3 linked regions of the Alligator mississippiensis genome follow. The protein of the gene in region 3 interacts with the protein of the main gene of each other region in a pairwise test. Links are inferred from orthologs where the notes say so. Each region holds a gene or a part of one and is shown on either strand. Other genes may lie near its edges. The genes, in order: LARP6, SYNJ2 and ITSN2.

Region 1 (7,572 bases), on a different chromosome or scaffold from region 3:
TCCTGCCACTGCTGTGCCCCCCCCAGCTGACAGGGGCACGCGTTGTTCATGGGCACTGATATAAAGAAAATTGGCTGCATTGGAAATTGGCCTAAAGCGGCTGATAAACGCCCATGCATGTGCACAGCTGCAGCACAGCACACAGGCAGAGAGCAACTGAAGAGCTGTGTGCAACTGGTAAGTCTGTTGTGGTGGAAGGGGAGGGAAGGGGCATGGCGGGGCAGATCAATGCTCCCCGTGGTGAGGAAGGGAGGGAATAGGGCAGGGCAGACACTGCCCAACCTTGCAGTGGCGTAACGAGGGTCTCGGGTACTGAGGGGCCAATGCTTACATGCCCCCCGCCTGGTCACCCCCTGCAGATTCCAGCGGCAGGGTCGAGAGCAGGGGGGGCGCCCCGAGCAGTGATTGGCGACTGCCCGCAGACACCGCCAGCAGCATCCAATCTCAGCGAATTGGAGGCGGGGGGGCAAAATCGGAACTGCTTCCCACGCCACTGCCACTGCTTCCGGTTTTGTGGCCTGTCGGTACCCCCTGCAGCCCTGTGCCCAGGGGCCATGCCTCCCCCCTAGTTCCCCTGTCAGTACACCACTGCAGCCGGGATGGGATGGGGCACAGGAGAGCCATGGCTTGTCTAGTGGACGCAGGGGGAGGGCGCATGTGCCCCCAGATCTGCGTGGGGTGGGGCTCTTCTCTGCAGAGGCTGGGCTCAAGGTAAGCAGAAGTGGTGCTGGGAAGTGGGGCACTGGGGGGGGCTACAGTGAAATTTGGGGTGGCTGCAGCCCCTCCATAGCCTCCCCCCTAGTGCTGTCACTGCTCGCCCCAAGCCCAGGCCCCGCTGAGAAGAGCCTGGTGCATTCCTGGCTCCAGCCCGCGTTGCAGCCTGCCTGCCCCACTCAGCGCAGACCCAGGGGCACCCCCCCATGCCCTCCTGGGGTGGCACAGCTGTGGGAGCCCCTGTGTCCCCTGGATGAGCCGTGGCTCCATCCGATGCCTGCCCCACCCTGCCCCACCCTACCCCGGTTGGGCAGTGCTTGCCATAGACCCTGTCCCACTCCCTCCCTCACTGCGGGGGGCATTGATCTGCTCCCCTTCCCTCCCCACTCCCCTTCCACCACATCAGACTTAGCAGCTGCACACTGTATCAGAAATCGGATTCGTATTGGCCAATATACCTCTTAAAAAAAAAATCAGCTATTGGTATCAGCTCCCAAAATCTCTATTGATGCATCCCTAACAAACACCAATCTGACTTCAGATCTAGAGACACCCAACCTAGTGGCAGAAAGCTTCAGCCTCCCTGGAGATTCCCTCTGACCTCCTTTGCTGTCTGGGAGCAGCTACACACTTTACAAATGAACTTGAATGGGAAACTGTGGAACAGCATCCACAAACTGGAAAAGGACAAACTTTCAAAGTAGTCATGAGGGGACAAACTTTTCCTGGTTCACAGGCAGCCCCTCTAAGTGTTAAGTATGGTCTGAAACAGGGATTAGAGATTCTTATCCCATGCCCTTTGTCTGGATGGGTTTACTGTTTGTTTGCCTTTCTCTTCCCAGTCCCTTGCATTCAAATCACTCTCCTCTCCAGTCTATACACCGCTTTGTGTACACTCCTTTCATACACTCCTTTCATAGCATCTGTTGAAGTGAGCTCAGGCACACAAAAAGCTTATGCTCTACACTTCTTAATTTAGTTAGACTCCAAGGTGCAAATCGACCCCCACTGGCTTCGACTCCCACACCTTTAAAAGCACAGTAATGGATCAATAAGCTCTACAAGGTTCCTCCACTACGTGTAACAATGGGCACAGAATAAACGCCTCCTGAAAGCAGTCAGGTTGTTACAGCAGCAGGTTTACATTATCTGCCACAATCCCCAGAATAGGACAAGGCTGGTGAACGTTTCTATTGCAGGAACACGCCCGTGCCTCAGGGTGCGCGACCCAGCATGGCCTTGGCTTTGTGTCAGACAGCGCAGCAAGCTGCAGCCAGCCCCGAGCCGTTGGCCTCCAGCCCAGAAGGCTTGGAGAGGGGGCCGTGTCCGGCACCGGTTCTGGGCAGGAAGGCCCCGGCCCATGGCCACACTTTGGCTCTGAAGTCGAGCCATTGGATTGAACTGCATTGAGGCCTCGGATTCATGGATCCACTGGGCTGTGTAAGGCCCAGTGGGTACTAATGAACGCTGTTGCCGCTGCAAACAGCGCCCCAAAGCAGCTGGCCCCAGGCCTGGAGATAGGCAGGCAGCGCTGTCCGTGCGGGCAGGTGGGCCGGGACCTCAGGGTCGGCGACGAGGGCACGAGGCTCCAGGCTGCCCGGCCCGGCCCGGCCCAGCCCCTCGGGGCAGAGCAGCGCCCAGCCGAGCGCCCCGCGGCGGCGGATGCCGAGGGGAAGCAGGGAGGGAGGCGCCGGCTCCCCCGCGGCCGACGTCGCCTGGCCCCGGCGCCGCGCTCCTCCCCGGCGGGGCCGCCCCCGCGCTGCCAGGTCAGCAGGCGAGCCAGGGGCGGCCGGCCCAGCTCCCTGCCGCGGGCAAGGAGCCGGCGCATCCCCGCCCGGCCCCTACCTCGACTTCCCGTGTCTGCCCGAGTCGTCCTCGCTGCAGCTGCCGCCGCCCAGGGAGCCCGGCGTCGGGGCCAGGGCCAGGGCCAGGGCCGCGCCGTCGCCCTCCTCCTCCTGCTCCTCCTCCTCCTCTGCCGCCTCGATGGCCACCCGGATCCGCACCGGGCCGGCCCCCGCCTGCTCCGCGCCCGCCCCGACGGCCTCCTGCCGCCCCGGCGCGGGGCTGCCGGCCTCGGGCTCCTCCGCCACGGCGCCGCCCGGGCGCGGCGCGGCCATGGGGCCGGGCGGCGGGGACCGCGCTGCCACCAGCCGCCGGAGCCCGGCGAGCGGCGTCCCCGGCCCCGCTGCACCCGCCGCCGCGGCGCCCGCTCCCCGCCCGCCTGCAGCTCCCCGCCCCCAGCCTGCGCGCTCCGCGGGGGGCAGCGCGAGCGGGAGGGGGCAGCGCCGCCAGGCGCCAGCACAGCCCGCCCGCCTCTATCCTGCGGGCCGGGACCAGGGGCAAGGGGTGGGGTCGGGTCCCCCCGCCCCAGCCACGGAGAGGCGCTCACGCCCGGTTTCAGGCAGGGCTATTTCAACGTTATTAGTCTTCACATATTTCGTGTTCCAGGTCAAATCCGATTCACAGCTGTACTGGAGTTTAGGGCTGGAAGGGACCTCGTGAGATCATCGGGTCCAGCCCCTGCTCCGGGCAGGGAAGACTGCAGGGGTGAAATAACCCCAGCAAAGGGTTCCTCGGCCAAAGCACAAGACCGACAAGAACTCAATCTTCCCCAAACCACGTTGATTGAGCAGGGCCAGGCCGGCGGTCAGGAGGTGCATGTGCACCCCCTACACATCACCACGGGGCTAACCGCCACGTCTGGCTACAACCAGTGAGCATCTGATGTCCCAGGTTCTCACCCTGGGATTTCAGATATTCCCAGATCCATTGGCACGCATCCTACTGCAAGCCCAGAGGTCTTGGGATTCGGGTGCCCCCCATTGATCTTAGTCAGAAGGCTGAGAAGAGGGGACGCGGCTGCTGGGGTGGATCTCGCTCCAGGCTGACCAGGGGGGGAGTTTGTCCTATAGCTTCCCAAGCCTCCTGGCCAGTCCCAGCGGTGACTGGTGTTGGGGGCAGGCCAAGGACAACCCATCATTCAAGTTGTTCAGTAAATACCAGGCATTGGAGGCAGTTTGGGAGGGACCTGGAGGAGGGCAGGCACAGAGGTGGTCCTTTACTCAGTTACCCGCAAAAACCAGCAAACAGGCTAACCAGGTTGTTTTTGAAGTAGTTGTTAGGGTTCAGAATCAGCACCCCAGTGAGATGCCTGGAATCCAGGGACACCTCACTGTGCTCTCTTATTTCAGGACTACATCCGAGCAAATTAAGAACATTAACTTGGCAACACTAAATGGTAGGATTTTCCTTTTCTTTAAAAGTGAATTTCTGTTCATTCTTCATTTTAGAAAACAAAGACTTATCAGAAAGACACTTGATGGGTTTGCATTCTCATAGAGCCCTATGTAAATGTAAAATTTTAATTCAACAGCTGAGGCTAAGAAACATGAATAGACAAAGACTTGAATGCACACATTTATAATTTAATGATGATACAACATAGAACTATGTGGTACTTTACAGACACACACAAGAAACATATAGCCCCTGAAGAGCCCTCCTGCATGTGATAACTTTCAGTCATCAGATTTCACGGCATTGTTTCCATGCATAAAAGCGAAACATGCATAACATTTAGAGGATCAGGACAACATTTACTATGTGAGTCCTTATTCCTTAATTTGGGAAGAGCCTTGAGAGAGGCCTCTTTCATTACTGTTCACATGTGGATCACAAGGTAGGAGATGAATTTGTAATTATTACTTCAGTCCATATTTTGGGTTAGTCCTTATGTTGTAGTGGCCTCCTCAGCGCCTTCAACTTTATGGGGAAAATTGTCTTCACTTAAGTGCATCTGCTCAGTATTTTCAATGGAAAGTTTTCATTTTTCAATATTATTGAACAATTTCAATAATATTCAATATTAAAAATCTGAATTAGCAGACATGTCCATTGGACTTCATTTTTTATTTTTGGAGACAAGGTTCTTTGGGTGAATCTGATATCTTTTATTAGACCAACTTAAGTAGTTGGAAAAGAAAAATTTAAGCAAGCTTTCGGGTTCAAAAACCCTTCGTCAGGCTAAGGAAGTTTCAGCAGTTGGTGTGTGCTCTTGCTGGATGGAATGAAAAGTAAAGAAGCCAGAGGTCGGGCTGGTATGCATACAAGACAGGTGGTCAGTGAAAATGTGGATTGAGGAGTCAATGGGTGAGAGACAGGCGGGGGGGCTGGATTTAGTTTTTAGCACTTCAAAAGTTTTCTGCAGGCAGGTCTGTCACCATCAAAACAGAACACAAATACAGCTCTGCTATGATGGGTTGATTTTTTGTATTTTTGTATTTTTTTAGCTTATCTGGTGCTTAGAGAGGTTCTTTACAGAGATGACTTACTTGCCCTGCTATGCAACTAACTAGAGGTCTTTGTCAGCTAGCAGAATGCCACAGGCAGTCCTCGGACTTAGAACACAATTGTTTCCTGAAAACCACGTCTTAAGTTGAAAAGTTGTAAGTTGGAACCAATTTTCTCATAAGAAACAATGTTATAAATGGGGGATTGGTTCCTGAACCAATGCCCGATAACCTATTTTCACCAAAAATACCCCAGAACTTTGCACTTGATAAATTATAGATGAGAAATATGGCTACATTAATGTATTTATATTGTAAATAGCAATCATTGATTTGGAAGGACTTCTTTGCTGGACTTTTTGAAGGGCTCTTGGTTGGACTTTTTGAAGGGCTCTTGGCTGGAGTCTTGTCAGTCTTGGCTGCAGCTTTCTCTGGAGTCTTGTCTGCTTTGTTAAAGAAAGTGTCCAAAGAAATTTGACAGATGTTCTCCAGTTGTAAGTCGGACCACCTGTAATCTGTTGGTGCTCATTGCATAGTATAACGTTAGGCCTTATCTCCATTTGGCTACATTTCTCTAAATGTGCCTGCTGTTGCTACTACCAGTTCTGCTCCAGAAATATTGTAATATTGGAAGATTTAGTGTAGGTGTGAGCCAAAGCCATTTTAAATACTGCATTGATGCCAGTGCCAGTAGGAACTGCGCTGCTACCAGTAGAAGTTAACCAGTGTTTGCCAAGGTGGGAGAATCTCCAGGTAAGGGTAATATAGACAAGTCCTTAGAGGACAGCATCTGTCCAGCATAAGTCTCTGGCCCCCACCCAAGGTCAAACTGTAAGAATCTCATTTGGGTAAACTTTCCCACTATAGTTTATTGTCTGAGTTATCTATGATATATACATTTTTGTGCTCCCCAAAAAACAGACTTCAGTTCATGATTTCCCTATTTGATTCTGGGTCTATTACGGCTAAAAGCCACCCCTTCTGATACAAGGCTATAACTGGGCATTGTGATACTGCGTTGGGGAGGTAGCATGGTGGAATTCATCCTAGTCTTTAGGCAGGCCCCTCTACAAGTGGTTTCCCAGGCACTGGCCTAATCTTTCATATGTTGGTTTAAGTAGGATCCCATAGGTGGGATATTTGGGCTATGAGATCCAATAGCTCCTCCTTCCAAACTGTCTCCAATCTGTGTGCCTAGGTGCTTCTGTGGCTTCCTAACCAAAATACAACTGTCTCCCAAACATTTATGGATTAATGCTTGTGTTACTGTTGTAAGATATGATAGAAGGAAAGCTGAGACACAGACAGATTAAGTGACTTTTCTAAAGTCACATGTAATGTTGCTGGCAATTAGAAACTGAGCTTTGATCTTCTGAATGCTGCCTTATTCAGAAAACCTTTACCTTTGCCTTTGTACAATCCTAACCAGAGCCACCGAGGTGATTCCATGACCACACTCACCCCAAAGACCCGAAGACACCTTATTAAATGGCCCTTTTCTGTGATGATTTTTACATGGACCTGCTATGCAATTTTAGTGGTACTGAGGGCTTTGCATAGTTTCATAGTTGGTAGGGTTGGAAGGGACCTGAGCAGATCATCAAATCTGCATCATGCACTCCTCTATTGTATCTGAGTTTGGTACAATAGAGTGCCTTTGTGTGGGTTGAATGTCAAAGTAGTTTATAACTCTCTTCGAAATACTGTAGCTTGGACTGAAAAAAAAAAAAGCCAAAAAACACCTCCACTCCCAGAAAAGAATATCATGCTAAAATATTAAACTTTATAATAGGTTCAATATTATCCTTTTTTTTGGAACAAAGTGGTTATTTCACATTCAAGGGCTAGCAGGTTTTTAGCTTAGGAGGAAAAACAGATAAAGTCAAGTACTTTGTTGATGCAATTCTGTTTATTTTCAAAGAATAAAGAAGTTCTGTTTCCTTGAATCAAATAGAAGATGGAAATTACTTTGTGCAGAGATCTAAGACGTTTTCCACTCAGCGCTTAGTCCAAAAGCTCTCTCATCAGTTTTCTCAGAGATCTGTAACGAGTAGTTGTTTTGGCTATCCCTTTGGTTTTCTGCTGCTTTTCTCTGTCTCAGTCCTGTAGTTCAATGGAAGCCAACCTTTTTGGCAGGCATGCTACCAGTTAGCCATGCACCCTCCTTGGGCGCATCCAGATGAGAACAGATGTGTGGTATATGGCAGTGCAGACCCATCTGCAGCACCACACACCACACATACAAGCATTCCCTGTGCAGCAACTTTGCAGCGTGGTGGGGTTTTTTGACTCTGGGAGATTCTGTGCTTGCTGGGACCCTTCAAGTTGCCCCCCGCCTGCCTGGCAACGGAGCACTTTACTGGGATGAAGCCGGATTTGTGGCCAGGCTCCTGGAACTCTCGCCTGGCCTCGCCGGCCGGATCGGGCCCCATCCGGAGCTCCGAGTTGACGTGGCACTGCGGAGGCCTGCCTGGGCTTCTGCCACCTTGGCCCTGGTCCTCCGCCCCTCGCCAGGGTCGCTGGGCTCTGACCCCGGGGCTCCGCATCCTTGTCGGGACCCTTGGAGCTG
Region 2 (7,203 bases), about 120 Mb from region 3:
ACACCTTGCTGAGGTTGTTTGACCCCAGTACTTTTTCCTGCCATGGCAGGGAGTCGGACTTGATGATCTACTCAGGTCCCTTCTGACCCTACCAACTATGAAACTATAAGGGGCCTCAATCTGCACCCCCCCCCCTTTCTGCCTGGATATGCCTTTTCCTCATAAACTTACCTACAGGGAGCTGCTCTCCAGGCTGCCTGGCTATGTTCCTGGCTATGTGCATGTGTGCAGGCACATGCATGCACGTGGCACCCCTGCGTCCTGCTCCTGGCAACCCCAATCAGCCCCTTGTAGGCTGAAACCCTGCCAGCCTGCAAAATGAAACCCGCCATTTCCTGCAGATCCCTGTATGACACTGAAAATCCAGGATAAATGCTGTCCCAAAGTCGTGCAGCCTGGGACCAGGACTTGAGGTTCCCATTCCAGGACTAATTGCTGCCCAATTAGAGACAGATGGTCATCCTACTGCTACTTGTTCCTCCATCAAATCTGGATGAGGCCCATAAGAAGCCCCATGGTCTGGATCCAGCCAGCGAGGAGGCATGAATTTGACACTCCTGCTCTGAAATATCTACTACTTGCCACTTGCCAATACTGGGAAATAGGATATTTAATCTGATGGACCACTGGTCTGATCTGGGATGGTACTTCTATGCTCATGGCAGCCACCATGAAGCACAGAGTACCTTTCATGGACAAACTTTTTTCCATTATCGAAAAAACACATGAGGTTCTAATATTAAAAAGAACATAGCCCTTAAGTGAGAGAATGTGTTAAAGGAGGACTTCTCAGACAGGCAGTTTGTTCTATGTCACCAACCCAGAAAAGTCACAAGGACATCATTTTTTAAAGTTTGCAGAAAGTGTTTAATTTTATTACAGTATGCTAAATGTTTCTAATCTCCCACTTTCCCTCACCTCTGACAAGCCATTTATATCTTGTTCCCTGCACCTAAGTTGCTGTGCTTAAAAGAAAGTTTATCATAGGCAGCCCTGTTCCCTGCTAGGTGAATATTTTGTTTGACAATTCAAGCACTGAGCTCTCTATTAATTATCCTGACTCTTGTATTTATGTCTTTAGTGTCTTTTGCTGCAAATTACAAGTACAAATGAATTATATGCACAGAAAGTACAGAATCATTGAGATGGCTTTGTCCTCCAAGTGACAGTAAGCTCTGATGATGCATTAGAAAAACTTATCATGAGCACAAGGTGCTACAGCAATCATTCTTCAAAAGGCAACAGATGCTCAAAAGAGGGATTTGGATATTTTTATATGTAAGTGAATGACACACCACCAGATTCGCAGGGGAGAATGTTACCATAAACCAACCCTTCTCAAGTCATCTCTCCAGTACTGGCTGCATTAGACAACCCTGGGCTTACTAGTGTAGGACTCCTGCCACTTAATCTCAGCTAGGTATTTTCTTCTAGGGAAAGAGGAACCCCTGCAGTTTTCACCCCCCTGTGGTGTAACACATAGCCGTGACATGCGTTTTGCTTTCAAGAATTTGGGGTGCAGTTCCCCCATAGCCCTGCACCGATCTTCTTGAAACTTGGCAGGCTTCATGCTCTCATCAGAGGCTATCACCCCTGCAAGTTTCATCCAAATAAAACAAAAAACAACAAAGTTATAGATATTTCCTTGATTCCCCGTTATACCTTACAGCCGGATCTCCGAAGCGGCTCCAAAGCTTTTCCAAAGCAGTTCGGAAGCTCTGAACCACGTCAGAAAGCCTAACGAAGCCAGCGCTTTGATCCGAACATGCTGCTTTGGACACCAAAGCGTCTGAAGCTTCTCTGGATCTGAAGCACGGTCCAAAGCCTCACACAGCCCTAATCCCTGTCCTGCCTCCATGTCTATAGGAAACTCATTGTAACCGGTATGTCCTTGTTCTGATTAGGATGTGAAATGTTTACATTATTCTCTGTGGGGGGGTTTATATCCATTGAAAAACAAATGTTGAGCTTACTCTTATGCCTTCTTCTCCTGTTATCATTTGAATACTTTTCTAGGTGATTTCTTCTAGGTTCTCTCTCCCTGACTTTCCACACTGTCCCATATTGATCTGAATCAAAGTGCCAAATATATGCACTGACACACTTTCCTGCCACAAACCCCTTTATCATTTCTTCTGTTTTAAAAGCATCATAAACTTGAAAAAAAAATCACATTTTTCTGCCCTTTGAAAAGCTTTTGCTACTAGGAATATTATAGATTCTGGAAACAGATTCACAGAGAGCATACAAATCTGTTTTCCTGAGAGTTGTTTACTTTGAGCTTTCTGAAGCAGGAACTGTGCTATATGTATGTCTGTACACTGCCTAGCCTGATATAACCTTGGACGATGTCCCTTGGCAGTGTGCAAGACAAACAACATCACAACAACAATAATAGGAAATATTCAGGGTATTTTGTGTTTTTCTCTGTCCACTTAGCAAATTAGGGTTCATCCCCAGTACAGCCACAACTGTGATTGTGTAGCTAGCTAAAGTCATGTTCACTCTAACTAATTAGAAGTATTTGCATCTGAGATGCAGCTTTTCTGCCATCAGAGCTGTATTCGCTCATCCACATCTACCTTGCTATTGTGCCCCAAGGAAAACCTCCCCACACAAGAAATTCCTGCCCAGAAGAGCATTCCATCTTTTACTCTTCTGTGAAATATGAAACACTATAACCAGAAGGAAATATGGCTACATCCTGCTTGATCCCAAACAACTTTGAAGTAAACAGACTCTTCCAACTTTTCTCTGAGCCTAACCTACATAAAATGAACTGTGCCAAACAGGAGATTTTATCACACCTTTAACTCTCCTATGAAATATGAACTTTAATTTCTAACTAGGAGAACTTTTACAATCTTTTCTCCTATGCCTGAAGAAGGGTGCTTGTGCCTGAAAGCTTGCAATTAAAGGCATGGGTTTTTTTGCAAAAATCTAGTTGGTCTAATAAAAGATATCACCTCTACAATGAGTTCTCATTCCTTTTATCTCTAGACCACTACAGCTACAGCCTAGAAACCTGACCCAAGAAAAATCTAGCATTTGCCTCAGTAGCGACTTGGGGAAAGCTGGTTCCTGGCTATTGATAAAGGTGAGAGGTGTATTAATTATAAAATAACTTATATGTACACAGCTCCTTTCAGCTGAAAGCATTTCTCAAAGTGAGGGCCAGCTCCAGTTGGCAAAACTCTCAGTGAAGTCAGCAGGAACTTTGATTAAGCAAGGAACAGCTGTACCTCATCAGTGAACTATAGCCACCCTGAGGAGGAGTGTGGGAGCTTTTTAAGGGGGCTACATGACTATTCAAGATTGGAAGTGAGACAGAACATTGATGAAGGGAGAGGAAGATTTGTGAGGGGAGGTCACATCTTTTTGCAGTCTCTCCTACCTCTCCTAGCAACTGGTCCATAAAAGGCTATGACCTCACCTTACCTATCTCCATTCTCTAACTGGATTGCCACGTGCACCCCCTACACATCGCCAATGCTTCATTGCATAGGCCTGAACACCCCTCTCTCCTTTCTAACAGCCTTGATGTTCCACTAATCGATCTATTTTTTCTTCTGCCACCCTGCTGTCCCTCAGCTGCTGCCTCACTGCCCTGCAGACTCTGCTTAACTCATTAAAAACAGTAACACAGGGATGGAAATAATTTGGGAAATGATTGGAAATGAGCTGCCTCACTTCCCAGAGCCTGATGAAAGGCCTTTGAGCCTGAAGACTTGCAGAAAAGGATATTTTTTTGCCATTGCCCAGTTGGTCTAATGAAAGGTCCCATTTCAGAACCGGGAGTTCTCGATTTGTGCATTTCATACATCCTGAGCACTGTTACTCCGGGTTCGAATCACACTTTGCCTCTTGCCGGGGGTCTGCAAAGAAAATTAGGTAGCCCATTAGATAGATGCCCATATAAAATCAGAGACCCCCCCACCCCTCCAGGTAATTTTCTTTTAAACCTTACAGGGGGGCTTTGGTTTCTTGTGGGAGGCTCAACCCTTTCTTTTACTGTTAGGGATCCTACATCCTAGAAGGGGTGAAGGGAAAGTCGGAAAGTGACCATGGCCGTCCACCTGGCAGCCTGGAGCTCCCCTCAGGCGCGGGGCGGGGCGGGGCGGGGCGAGGCGAGGGGCGGCTCTGCCCCGCGGGAGGCGGAGCTGCGGGACAAAGTCAATTCAGGGAAGTTTGCGGGCGGGGAGCGGCTGGCGGGGCCGGGCCGGGCCGGGCCGGAGCATGGCTCTGAGCAAGGGGCTGCGGCTGCTGTGGAAGCGGGAGCCGGTGCCCAGCGCCCTGCTGGAGGCGCGGAGCCGCCCCGACTGCCTGCTGCTGGAGGCCGGCACGCTGGCCGCGCTGGGTGAGGCGCCGGGCGCGGGCCCCCTGAGGCGAGGGCGGGAGGACGGGGAAAGGGAGAGCGGGTGCAGCCCGCCGCCAGTGGGGCTGGGAGCGGAAAGCGGAGCAGCAGAGCAGGCAGGGAGAATGGGTGGGGAGCAGAGGAGCAGACCGGCCAGGGAGTACAGGGGCGGGGGCGGAGCAGTAGGTAGGGTAGGAAGAAGAAAGCGGAGCAGCAGGGCAAGCAAGGAGAATAGTGGTGGGAGCAGAGCAGCAAACGGTGGGGAGCGGAAAGCAGAGGAGCAGATGGGTCAGGGAGAACAGGGGTGGGAGCAAAGCAGCAGATGGGGAGGGGAGTAGACAGCAGAGCAGGAGACCAGGCGGGGAGAACAGGGATGAGAGCAGAGCAGCAAATAGGGAGGGGAGCAGAAAGTAGCGGAGTGGGCTGGCCAGGGAGAACAGGCCCGAGAGCAGAAAGCAAAGGTGCAGACTGGCCAGGGATCGCTGGGGTTGGGGCAAAGCAGCAGATAGGGCAGGGAGTAGAGAGCAGAGCAGCAGACCAAGCAGGAAGAAGAGGGGTGGGAGTAGAGCAGCAGGTAGGGCAGGGAGCAGAAGGCAGAACAGCAGATCAGGAGGGAGCACAGAGGTGGGAGTAAAAAGCCGAACAGCAGATCATGCAGGGAGCACAGGCATAGAAGCAGAGAGCAAAGCAACAGATTGGACAGGGAGTACAGGGCTGGGGAACAGAAAGAGCAGGGCAGGGAGCTGGAAGCAAAGCAGGAGGTCGGGTAGAGAGCAGAGTAGCAGGTCAGGCAGGGAAGTGGATCAGAGCGGAGCTCAAGGAGGATGCAGGGCCTGTTTGTGGCACACCTGCCAGAAAAGGCTGCCCAAAGCAGTGGTTGCCCTGGGGCTTGGTAGAAAATCCCTCATGGTAGGACGGCACTGCTGCACCTGTGCTTGACTTCTTCATTTCTGTGGCTTTCTCTCCTCCATTGTGGCTGCAGCCTCAGCCAGGAGTGGGAGAGCTGTTGTGAGGCCTACCTGCAGATGGACCATCTTGCCTTCTGTGCAGGGCTACCGCTGCTGGGAGACTTCAAGGGGAAGAAAAAAATAAAAAATATTTTCCAAAATAAAGGGCCTGAGTCCTGGTGTACACTGGGGAGGTAGGCTTTATGAAGCTGTATGTGGAGATGCTCCAGTACCAGCTGAAAGCAGAGTTTACTTAGCCTGGTGGGATTTGTTTTGGTACAGTACATTGACAAACAGCGGTGTATCTCTAGTTGCATCATACGTTGTTGCAACAGTGTGAGTCTGCTTCATGTGGACAGGCCCTCAGTCTCATCTAGAGGTAGAGCAGCAATGAACACATCTGTACTTAAGTTCTATGTATGTTAAATGTCAAAGCTTACATTAAAGCCTACATTAAGGGTGAAAACTGGTCACAAAAAAATCATTGAACACTTGGAGAGTTAAGTTGCGTTACTAACTTTAACATAGCCTTGATGCACAAATGTTGGATTTTGTTTACTATCTTGGTTATTACACTGTTACTAGTAGTTAGACTTATAAGTGTGTAAGAGTTGTTTAGTCTGTCCATGCCAGGAATATAGGCATATTTGGAGTCCACTGTCTTCAGTGTGATTCTGCCTGGGCATTGCAGGCAGTCTGCAGATTCAGAGCAGCTCAGAGGAAGGGGACCTTAAATTTTAAAATCTTTAGAGTAAGAACTGTGTGTATTTTGTGCTTTCTGCAGCCTCAGTGGCATTTTCAGCATTTGAAAAATAATAGCCTGATTTTACTGTTGTATTAATTCTTCAGTCTAAGAGGATTGGTAATGCTGATTACCCATGAATAACTGATTATCAGCAGTTATCCACTTATGCTTTTCATGACAGGTATTTTTCATGTCATATGGACAGCCAGTAAAGGATGATCTTCAATATTTATAATGAAGAATATATGTATGTGTATGTATTATATGTATATGTATATATGTGCATACTGTATACATTATATATTATATATGTAATATACACTCAGATTGTTATTTATATCCTGAATCCAAATTGTTGGCACTCTGGCTTGTTACTAGACAATTCTGTGTTTGTACAAAAAATGCTTAATGTATAAAATCTTACTACAAAAATTCAGTGCGCTTGCTATATATGAATTATGTGATTATGAACAAAAATAATAAAAGATTTTTGCTTTGCACACTTATACCTGCTCATTGCCAAAATAGAAGAGAATAGTGCAAAATTGGAAAGTTGATCCTCTCTGTCTCTTGAGATGAGGAAAACTGAAGTGTCAGATGCTTTTATGAGCATCAGCTGGTTTGAGAGGTCATGTGACAAGCACCTTTTCAGCTAATTATCAGGAACAAATTCCATTATGATTTAGTTGCATGTACATTTGGAAATCCCTGTGTTTAAATGATGAATTAGCGAAAGTGTTTTGTGCCAAATCGAAGGGGCTATAGCAGCGCTTCTTACTAATAGGACTGTAGTGATAGATTTCACTGTACATATAAGCAACCACACAGTGTCTGGAGTGTGACTAAGTTTATGTTGCAGCCATTAAGAGTTTTAACATTATATGTAACAAACAGAGCTGATTGAGAAAAGAAAAATAATCTTTTGAAAATTTTGACTTTTTAGTTGTATAATGTTTCAGAAGAAAATGAAAAATATTTAGATTTTGAAATACTGCTGAAGTCCCTTCTGAGAGTTGTAGTTTGACTTAAAATTATGCTCCCATTCTGCTTAGTAATGGTGAAGGGAATTCCCAGTTAGATTGTATCTCCCAAAATGTGCCAGGGTCTCCAGTGTTTTGGTAAAGATGTGATGTATCTTGAGATGTGTCTTGGGAGAT
Region 3 (7,347 bases):
GTGGTCTCCAGGAAATGCTACACCTGTGCCTCTCCAGTGCAAGGTACCATATAGCCTCAGCCCCCACCACCTGGTGGGTAACCCCATAGAGGGAACAGATTAGGGATCCAGGCATGTCAACAGACACTTGAGGCCTAACAGGTATAAAGCCCAGAAGCCCCAGTGAGAGGGCAGAATTGTGGCCCCAGTGAGGGGGTGGAGTGAAAGCTGGAGGCCACGTGGAGTAGGGCCCATGGGGGCCTGAAGGACTGCGCATAGGTCAGCCAGAGTAGTGGCCCCAGTGAGGGGGGCAGAAAAGGCCAAGGTACATCTGAGGACACCTGAGGCCAATTGTGGGCTGGAGGCCAAGTGCAGCCCAGCAAAGGGGCCAGGGGAGTTGGAAGTCATTTTAGATGCCATCTGTGAGGCATGAGACATGGTGTAGGAATGGTTCAGAGTCATGTATTACGCCCTTGGCATCAGGACACAAAAGGGGCAGCCTCCTGCCTAAAAACAACTATTTAATTCCAACAAAGCCGTGGCAGAAAAGTCGGGTGGGTGGGCCAACTATGAGGCTGGCCTCGCTCCCTGTCACACTTGTGAATACTGCAATTCCAAATCACATCCTAAGTCACAAGCACAGCAGATATGAGAACATAGAACATAAGAACTGCTATTTCCTGAGTCAGAGAATGGGACCATTTTGCCCAGTGCCCCGTGTCCAAAGAGGGGTGCCACCACTTTCCCCTGGCTGCTGCTGGGCCAGGAATCAGAAGGAGCCCTGCTGAGCTGCTGTAGGCTCCTGCTATTCTTACCACCACTGTGTGTGGACCTACAGCCCACCATCACCACCCAGGTGCCTGAACTGTCTCCCCCAGCCCCAATCAAAGCCACCCTTGCCACAGACTCCAGCATATCTTACAACCTCCAGCACATCCTGCAACCCCAGTACAGACAGGAGAGAAGCAGGGTCCCCACCAAAAACCCTGAGGGAGATGCTGCACAGACCCACCGCCAGCTGTCCTGCTACCCCTTGTGCTACCCCCTTCCCCACCACAAGGGGCTGTATCTCCCCCTCTCCTGGTGTTGGGGGACGTAGTGCACTGGGTGGTTCAGGCAGTGCTCTGCTGGACCTTTGCCCCCACAGGGGCAGAGGAGGAGGAAACGCCTGTCCCACCAGGCCAGTCTCCAGAGATGGATGCTGGGATTCTTCTGGCTGGAACAGCACTGGGTCTCTGCAGATGTCCTGAGCCTCCCCTTGTGGGACAGCAGACAGGGCCTGGTCTGCCTCTGCATCCAGGTCCACAACTTCTGCCTTCAGGCCTTGGAGAGGCTCCTGTACAGTGCCAGTAGCCAGGCAATGTGGTGTAGTCTATGCCCTTCATTTGGTAAGTAACCCCAGACTGTTAAACGCTATGTCAAGGCCTAAAGTCTTTTGGAAAAAAAAACTGCTTTTTGCTGCTGCCTCTACAAACGCAGTAATCTTCAAATAACCCTTTTAGGATTTGAAACAAGACTAACGGTTAACTATAGGCAACATTAAGTACTAACTCAGACAGAATATGTCTGGACTTAACCACAATAAGGAAGAGAGAGGAAAACATAGAAAACAAATTATATCACAGTTAAGATTAATCATAGACTAACACAGGAATCAGCAACCTCCAGCACATATGCCAGAGCATGGCACGCAAGGCCATATTGCTCAGCATACCACAGATGGCCTGGGCTCTGGGCAGATGCTTCTGGCCACGGAGCCTGGGCTGTTCACAGCAGGCGGCTGAGAAGCTGCAAGCTGTGTTGCATGCAGCCCATGCTCCGTGGCAGGCAGCAATTGCCTAGAGCCTAGGCTGCCTATGGCAGGTAGCTGGGAGGCTGCAAACAGCTGCACCGGGCTCCTTAGCAGCCACAGCTGCACACGTGTCTCTGGGTGTAGGGTCAGGAAGGGGCTGCAGAATGCATGGATGGGAAAGAGCTGGGGTTGCTGAGGCACAGCTGCCACTGAGCCCATCCATACTCAAGACCAGTACAGCTTGTTTGCAGCCTCCCAGGTGCCAGCCACAGGTGACCCAGGCTCTAGGCAGCTGCAGCAGGCAGCTAGGAGGTTGCAAACAACTGCACCAAGCTCCAGAGTTCCAGCACTGGCTCTGTGGCAGTGGTGGCAGCTGCACACATGCCTCAGAGCACATGGTAGAGAAGCGGCCTGGGGCAGCACAGGCAGCAGGCAGGCTGCCAACAGCTGCATAGCTTCCCTGCCATACTAAGTCCCCACTCCCTTCTACCTGTCTTGCCACCTTCCGGGGCATGATGCCACTTCTCTTTCTCCCATTCCCTCACCAGACTGCTCCTCGCCCCAAGCTAAAGGATAACTCGTACAGCATTACCAATTATCAGTATGTGAATGGTTAAGTGTTCACATCTCTATTTGCCACAGCCTAAAATATTTTCAAATGAGGTCCAGCAAAAGAAAGTTTGAGAACCCTTGCACTACTTAAACTGGTTAAGAGGCCTATATGTACTTAGTCATGGATAGCAAAAACCCAAGTTGGATACTTGAACGTTTCAGCCAGCGTGGAGAGAATTGTATGGTTTTGTGCAGAAAGGGGATCATGTTGTTTGTGGCCTGTGTAGTAAAAGAGTGGTATCTTGTACTTTCAGCATCCAGTGCCATTTCACAACCAAGCACTAAGCCAAATTTTCTGGAGTCAATGAAGCAGACAAATTTGAGTGCATCAGACAAGCTACTGATTCGCTTGAAAAAAACAGACCCCCAGCTTTTCTAAGTTTGTAACTAAACGTGCTCTTTCCACACAGCCAAGTTACATTGCAGCTGTAGCTATAGCTAGGAAGGGCGAGTGCTTACAGACAGAGAGGACTTAAAGAAAGCTTTCTGAAACAATGCCGAGGAACTGTTTCACGATTTTGTGAATAACGAAGCCATGAAGAAACGCCATCGGCAGCCAGGACAGCTCAAAAAGGCGCCCATGAGTTCCACCCTGAAGTTACAGGCTGAGAGAGAAAGAACTGCCTTTCATTACTTTTAATCTCACCACCTGGCGTCATTCTGTGACCCTTACTTCTTGTATTGTGAGACAGTCAATAACAAACCCCTAGCGACTTTCTCTGCGTTGTTTCGCATTTTGTAAACTCTTAATGTTGCCCTTCAAACCCCTCTTTTCTAAACTCAGTCAAGCTTGGCCTCTTCCTCCCTCCTCACACAAGCCCTCCACACCACCGATCGTCCTCGCCACCTTTCTCTGCGCCGTCTCTAGCTTTCCTATACCCTTTGTGAGGTGCAGGGACCAGACCTGGGCACATTTTTCAAGGTGCGGATGCACCACGGATGTCTAAGGGGGCATTTCCCGCGATACTTTCCGTCGCGTGGAGTCAGGCAGTCATTGGTACGCAGCAGACACTTGGCATGGGACGAGCAAGCATGAGGCCAAACCTTATGTCGGACCCACAGGCCTCCTCGCCCGCTCCCTCTGCCCGGCCCCTGGGGTTGAGATGCACATTCAACCGAAAGCTGGCTGGAAACCACCTCCGGAGCCGCTACACATTTCCAAGCACTAATTCTGTTGCCACCCGGCTCTTGGGGGAGCAGGACAGACGTGGTTATCACCCGACTTGGCCCGTGGGGCCAGTCCATGTGAACTGTGCGCTCCACCAGCAACTTACGCCATGCGGGTAAGGTGCAGAGGGGCCAAGCCCGGACGCCTGCGGGGCGAGTGGGGGAGGGGGGGCTCTACCTTCTCGCTCCTCGTCGCTCCCGAAGCTGAGCAGGTCCCTGCCCCCCCGCGCCTGCCGGGCCCCGCCTTCGCCTCCGTCCTCCGCCGCCTCTTGGCCCCTCGCGCTCACCGTCGGCGCTTCCGGGAGCCGCGGGGGACCGGGACCGGGGTCGGGGCTGACAGGGCCCTGCCGCTGCCGCTCCTCCCCCCCCTCGACGCCGGGACCCGGCTCCTCCTCGCTGCTGGCGGACTGCACCCGGCGGCGACCCCGGAAGTGACGCGGACGCCGGCGGAACATTCTGTCCGGTACCGGTCACGCAGGCCCCGGTAGAACGCCGACGCCCAATGCGCATGCGCGCCGCAGCCCGGCTAGCTGAGGAAATGGTGTCGACCAATCACCTGTTGCTGGCTCCGCCCCGTGGGTGTCACAAGGGAAGTGGGCGGGGCAGAAGAGGGTGCTGGCCAATGAGGATGAAGTGTCTTTAACCCTCCCCTGGCTGGGACGAAGTGGGGTGCGGAGCTGGGGAGTTTTGAGTGCTGTCGCTGCGGGGCGGCGCTGGTGGAGGAGCGCGCTCGGCGCGGGCGGTCTTTCCTGGAGGACCACGGGGGAGCAGGTGCGGGTCGCTGCCTTCTCTGGTAAAGCAAGCGGGACCCGTGCAAACTAAGTACGGTAGCACGTGTCTTCTCCTCGTCGTTGTTGTCTCTGGCTCAGAGCTGGGGGGCTGGAGCCCCGGGGAGAGCCGCCTGCCTGCCTGCCCGCCTCCGGCTTCAGAGGATTTGCTGCGGAGTAAAACCCGGGGTTAGTTGCACCACAGCAGTGGTGGGAGGTGTCTGCGCCCTTCCTCCTTGCTGGGACGCTGGCACTTGTATGCGCTTCAGGTCTTCGTAGGATGCATTTGGTAGCCCGAGACGGAAAGAAATGCAAAAATCTAGAGCTCTTAGTTCAGAGATGAGACCTGTTATTAGACCAACGAGAAAATCGCAGACACAATTCATCTTTTTTCTGCGAGCTTTCGGGTGGGGCAAAATTAATCTTTTTCTGCGAGCAAGGACAGCCCCAAAAATAAACGTCAAATGCCCTTTGTCGGCCTCTGGGAAAATTAAAGATAGTGAAAATTCCCAATAGGTAGGAAATAAACTTCACTTTTGCACAGACAGAGGGTGCGGAAGATGGAAATCTGTCCCTCTGGATCTATGAGCGTGTCTTTGTGAGTTGTTCTGAGTTGCTCTTGGTTGTGTAGATCAGGTACGATTCCTTCCCTGGAGGTGTCAGATGGCAAGCAGGGAGTTTAGAAATCTTTCTCATTGTTAAATGAAGTTTAAAATCCAAAACTGACTAAAATTCAAGTCTTCATAGGCAGGCAAGGTTCTTTGGGTAGATGTGTGATACCTTTTACTAAACCAACTAAATAGTTGGGAAAATTGTTTTCAGGCACAAACACCCTTCTTCAGCCTAGGGAGTCTGGTGGTATGATGTGTGCTGTCCTGGGTAGAATAGAAGCCAATTTGCAAAATTCAGGTTTGTGAAAATGCAAATGCGTGGCAGTGAGGATCAGAGGGAATGGGGGACAATAGGTGTGAGACTGGTAAGTTGTGGGGAAGGAGGATGTTGATCTGGTGATAGAACGGAGCTGGTAAAATGCAGACAGGTTACCTGGGGTTATCGGATGGCAGGCAGGTTATAATGTGTGGTAAATCCAATGTCTGTATTAAGTGCATGATTTTTTTTTTTTTTGTATCCAGTAGATTGATGAAGTGAAGTTTGTAGACTTGCCTTTAAGGATTAGAACCGAGAGATGGGAGAGAGAGCGGTTGTCTTGTGAGAAGTGGGCACCCTTGAGTAATTGGGTAATTAAGTCTTCATAGAGTCACAGAAAACTAGGGCTGGCTGAAGCAGGATGATCCCTATCCGAGCCACACTATACAATAACTCTGTGTAAGACTACCATCAGCCCTGACACCGCATAGACCTAACACCCTAGCATGCTACTGGTAACACAAGGGAATCACAGCAAAGAGTGTCCTGCTGCTTTTCTTGTAAATATGGGCTCAGGAGATCCCAGGCAAACGTTTCTGCAGTTGTTTCTTTCTGGCTACTTAAATTCAATAGTAAGGCAACCTCTCTTATCCACTAGACAGCAATTTATGACCTGCATACAAGCTGTGGGTCATGGTGAGGAAGTCTTTCCATACAGCTGGAATCAATTTCTGCTTATCAATATCTTTGTTTATTCCTCACTATTAAATTGTTTAAGCCAGGGGTGCTCAACTCCTGGCCTGTGAGCCAGATCCAGCCCACAGATCTATGTAATCCAGCCAGAAGGGCTCCCTAAGTGGGGAAGTGGTGGTATCATTAATTGTTCACCCCCTGCTGCTAAATTTTCAGACCCATGTGGCGCTCCGTGTGCCAGATAACATGGCCCTGTGCACCAGATCATGCTAGATCACACCAGTGCGCAATTGGATCCAGGCATGTGGGGATCAAGCTGGTGTGCTGGATCCCACATGCCAACCCTGCATGGGACCTGGCCGGCATGCTGACCGTGCCACACATCCAGCCCGCTATAAGGTTGGTGCCCCTAGTTTAAGAACATGACTGAAGGGATTTGGCTATCATTAATCCAAGATACTATCTGGTCACGGAAAAGGTATGGGTTTTGGACCGGAAGAGCAAATCACTGGTTTCTAGCATGTCTGGACAAGCACCAATACTGCAGAGGAAGTGAGCCAAACTATGAAGTACACCAGAGGCATTAGATAATTTTGTTCCTTCTGCTCCTTCAAAGAATGGACAATTTTATCTATGATCTGTTCAGCTGACAGTAGGGATTTACACCTATCACCTTTCAGAACATTGTGCTGCCTATAACTGGGATTTGCTGACTGACTGCAGGCAGCGAGCCAACTAAATTTCAAAGGGAAGGCACTGAAGACTTGAAAAATATGAAAGATCTGGTTGTTTTAAGTATTTCTAGAGCCTTTATTTTCATAATATCTAGGCATATTTTGTTGTTCTCTCTACAGAGAAGCATTAGCTCAGCTGGAGATAATGTAGTAAGAATAGAAAAAGAATCTGTGATCATTGTAAACAGTATTTAATACTCCTCCCTTCCTGCTCCCTCCACTCTCCCCAAGTCTTTCATCTTAATTAGTCTCTTCTCAATCTTGGTTTCTGTATCTACAGTCATCCTGTATCTATGTCTGGAACAATCTCCTTGTTATTCAGCTGGTCTCTCCCCCTTCCCATCGTCCTTCCTACCTGCTCATTAGTCACCTCTTTGCCTTGAAATGCAGTCTAGAAACCTTATTGTATTTTCTTTCTGTGATTATAAACTCTGTGGGATAGGTGCTATTACTTGACTGGCTTGTAAAATTGAATTATAAGGATACATGCCACAACTAATAATAAGTGTCACTCATTTGTGTGTTAGGCCAAGATAGAAACAGTTATTTAGATTTTTTTTTTTTTAAGTGCAGGATAGTGGTGTACAGGTCTGGGGCAAACCCTGGGGGGGCATGCACAGTTGCAAATGTGTGGATTCTGAGAGCTGGGGAGGGTGAGACAGCATGCAGATCCACCTTCTCTACCTGTTGCTGGCTTTCTGGCCCTCATGTTTCCCACACATGAGCGTGGTGACAC

What was found.
Region 1: the proteins of ITSN2 (region 3) and LARP6 interact in a two-hybrid assay, tested with the Homo sapiens proteins (2 studies listed by BioGRID, with this or other methods). The link is inferred for Alligator mississippiensis from reciprocal best matches to the Homo sapiens genes ITSN2 and LARP6.
Region 2: the proteins of ITSN2 (region 3) and SYNJ2 interact in a two-hybrid assay, tested with the Homo sapiens proteins (2 studies listed by BioGRID and IntAct). The link is inferred for Alligator mississippiensis from reciprocal best matches to the Homo sapiens genes ITSN2 and SYNJ2.

Annotation. Positions count from the first base shown.
Region 1 is NC_081834.1:36,752,725-36,760,296, forward strand, and holds the start of LARP6 (la-related protein 6), read right to left. Parts: upstream 3,003-7,572; 5' UTR 2,832-3,002; coding exon 2,560-2,831; intron 1-2,559. UniProt on the Homo sapiens protein: Regulates the coordinated translation of type I collagen alpha-1 and alpha-2 mRNAs, CO1A1 and CO1A2. Stabilizes mRNAs through high-affinity binding of a stem-loop structure in their 5' UTR.
Region 2 is NC_081824.1:136,179,679-136,186,881, forward strand, and holds the start of SYNJ2 (synaptojanin-2), read left to right. Parts: upstream 1-4,188; 5' UTR 4,189-4,236; coding exon 4,237-4,357; intron 4,358-7,203. UniProt on the Homo sapiens protein: Inositol 5-phosphatase which may be involved in distinct membrane trafficking and signal transduction pathways. May mediate the inhibitory effect of Rac1 on endocytosis.
Region 3 is NC_081824.1:15,603,146-15,610,492, forward strand, and holds the start of ITSN2 (intersectin-2), read left to right. Parts: upstream 1-4,254; 5' UTR 4,255-4,321; exon of another isoform or gene 4,322-4,343; intron 4,344-4,387; exon of another isoform or gene 4,388-4,506; intron 4,507-6,663; exon of another isoform or gene 6,664-7,347. Other genes in the region: intron Large complex component GCFC2, read right to left, coding at 3,729-4,005.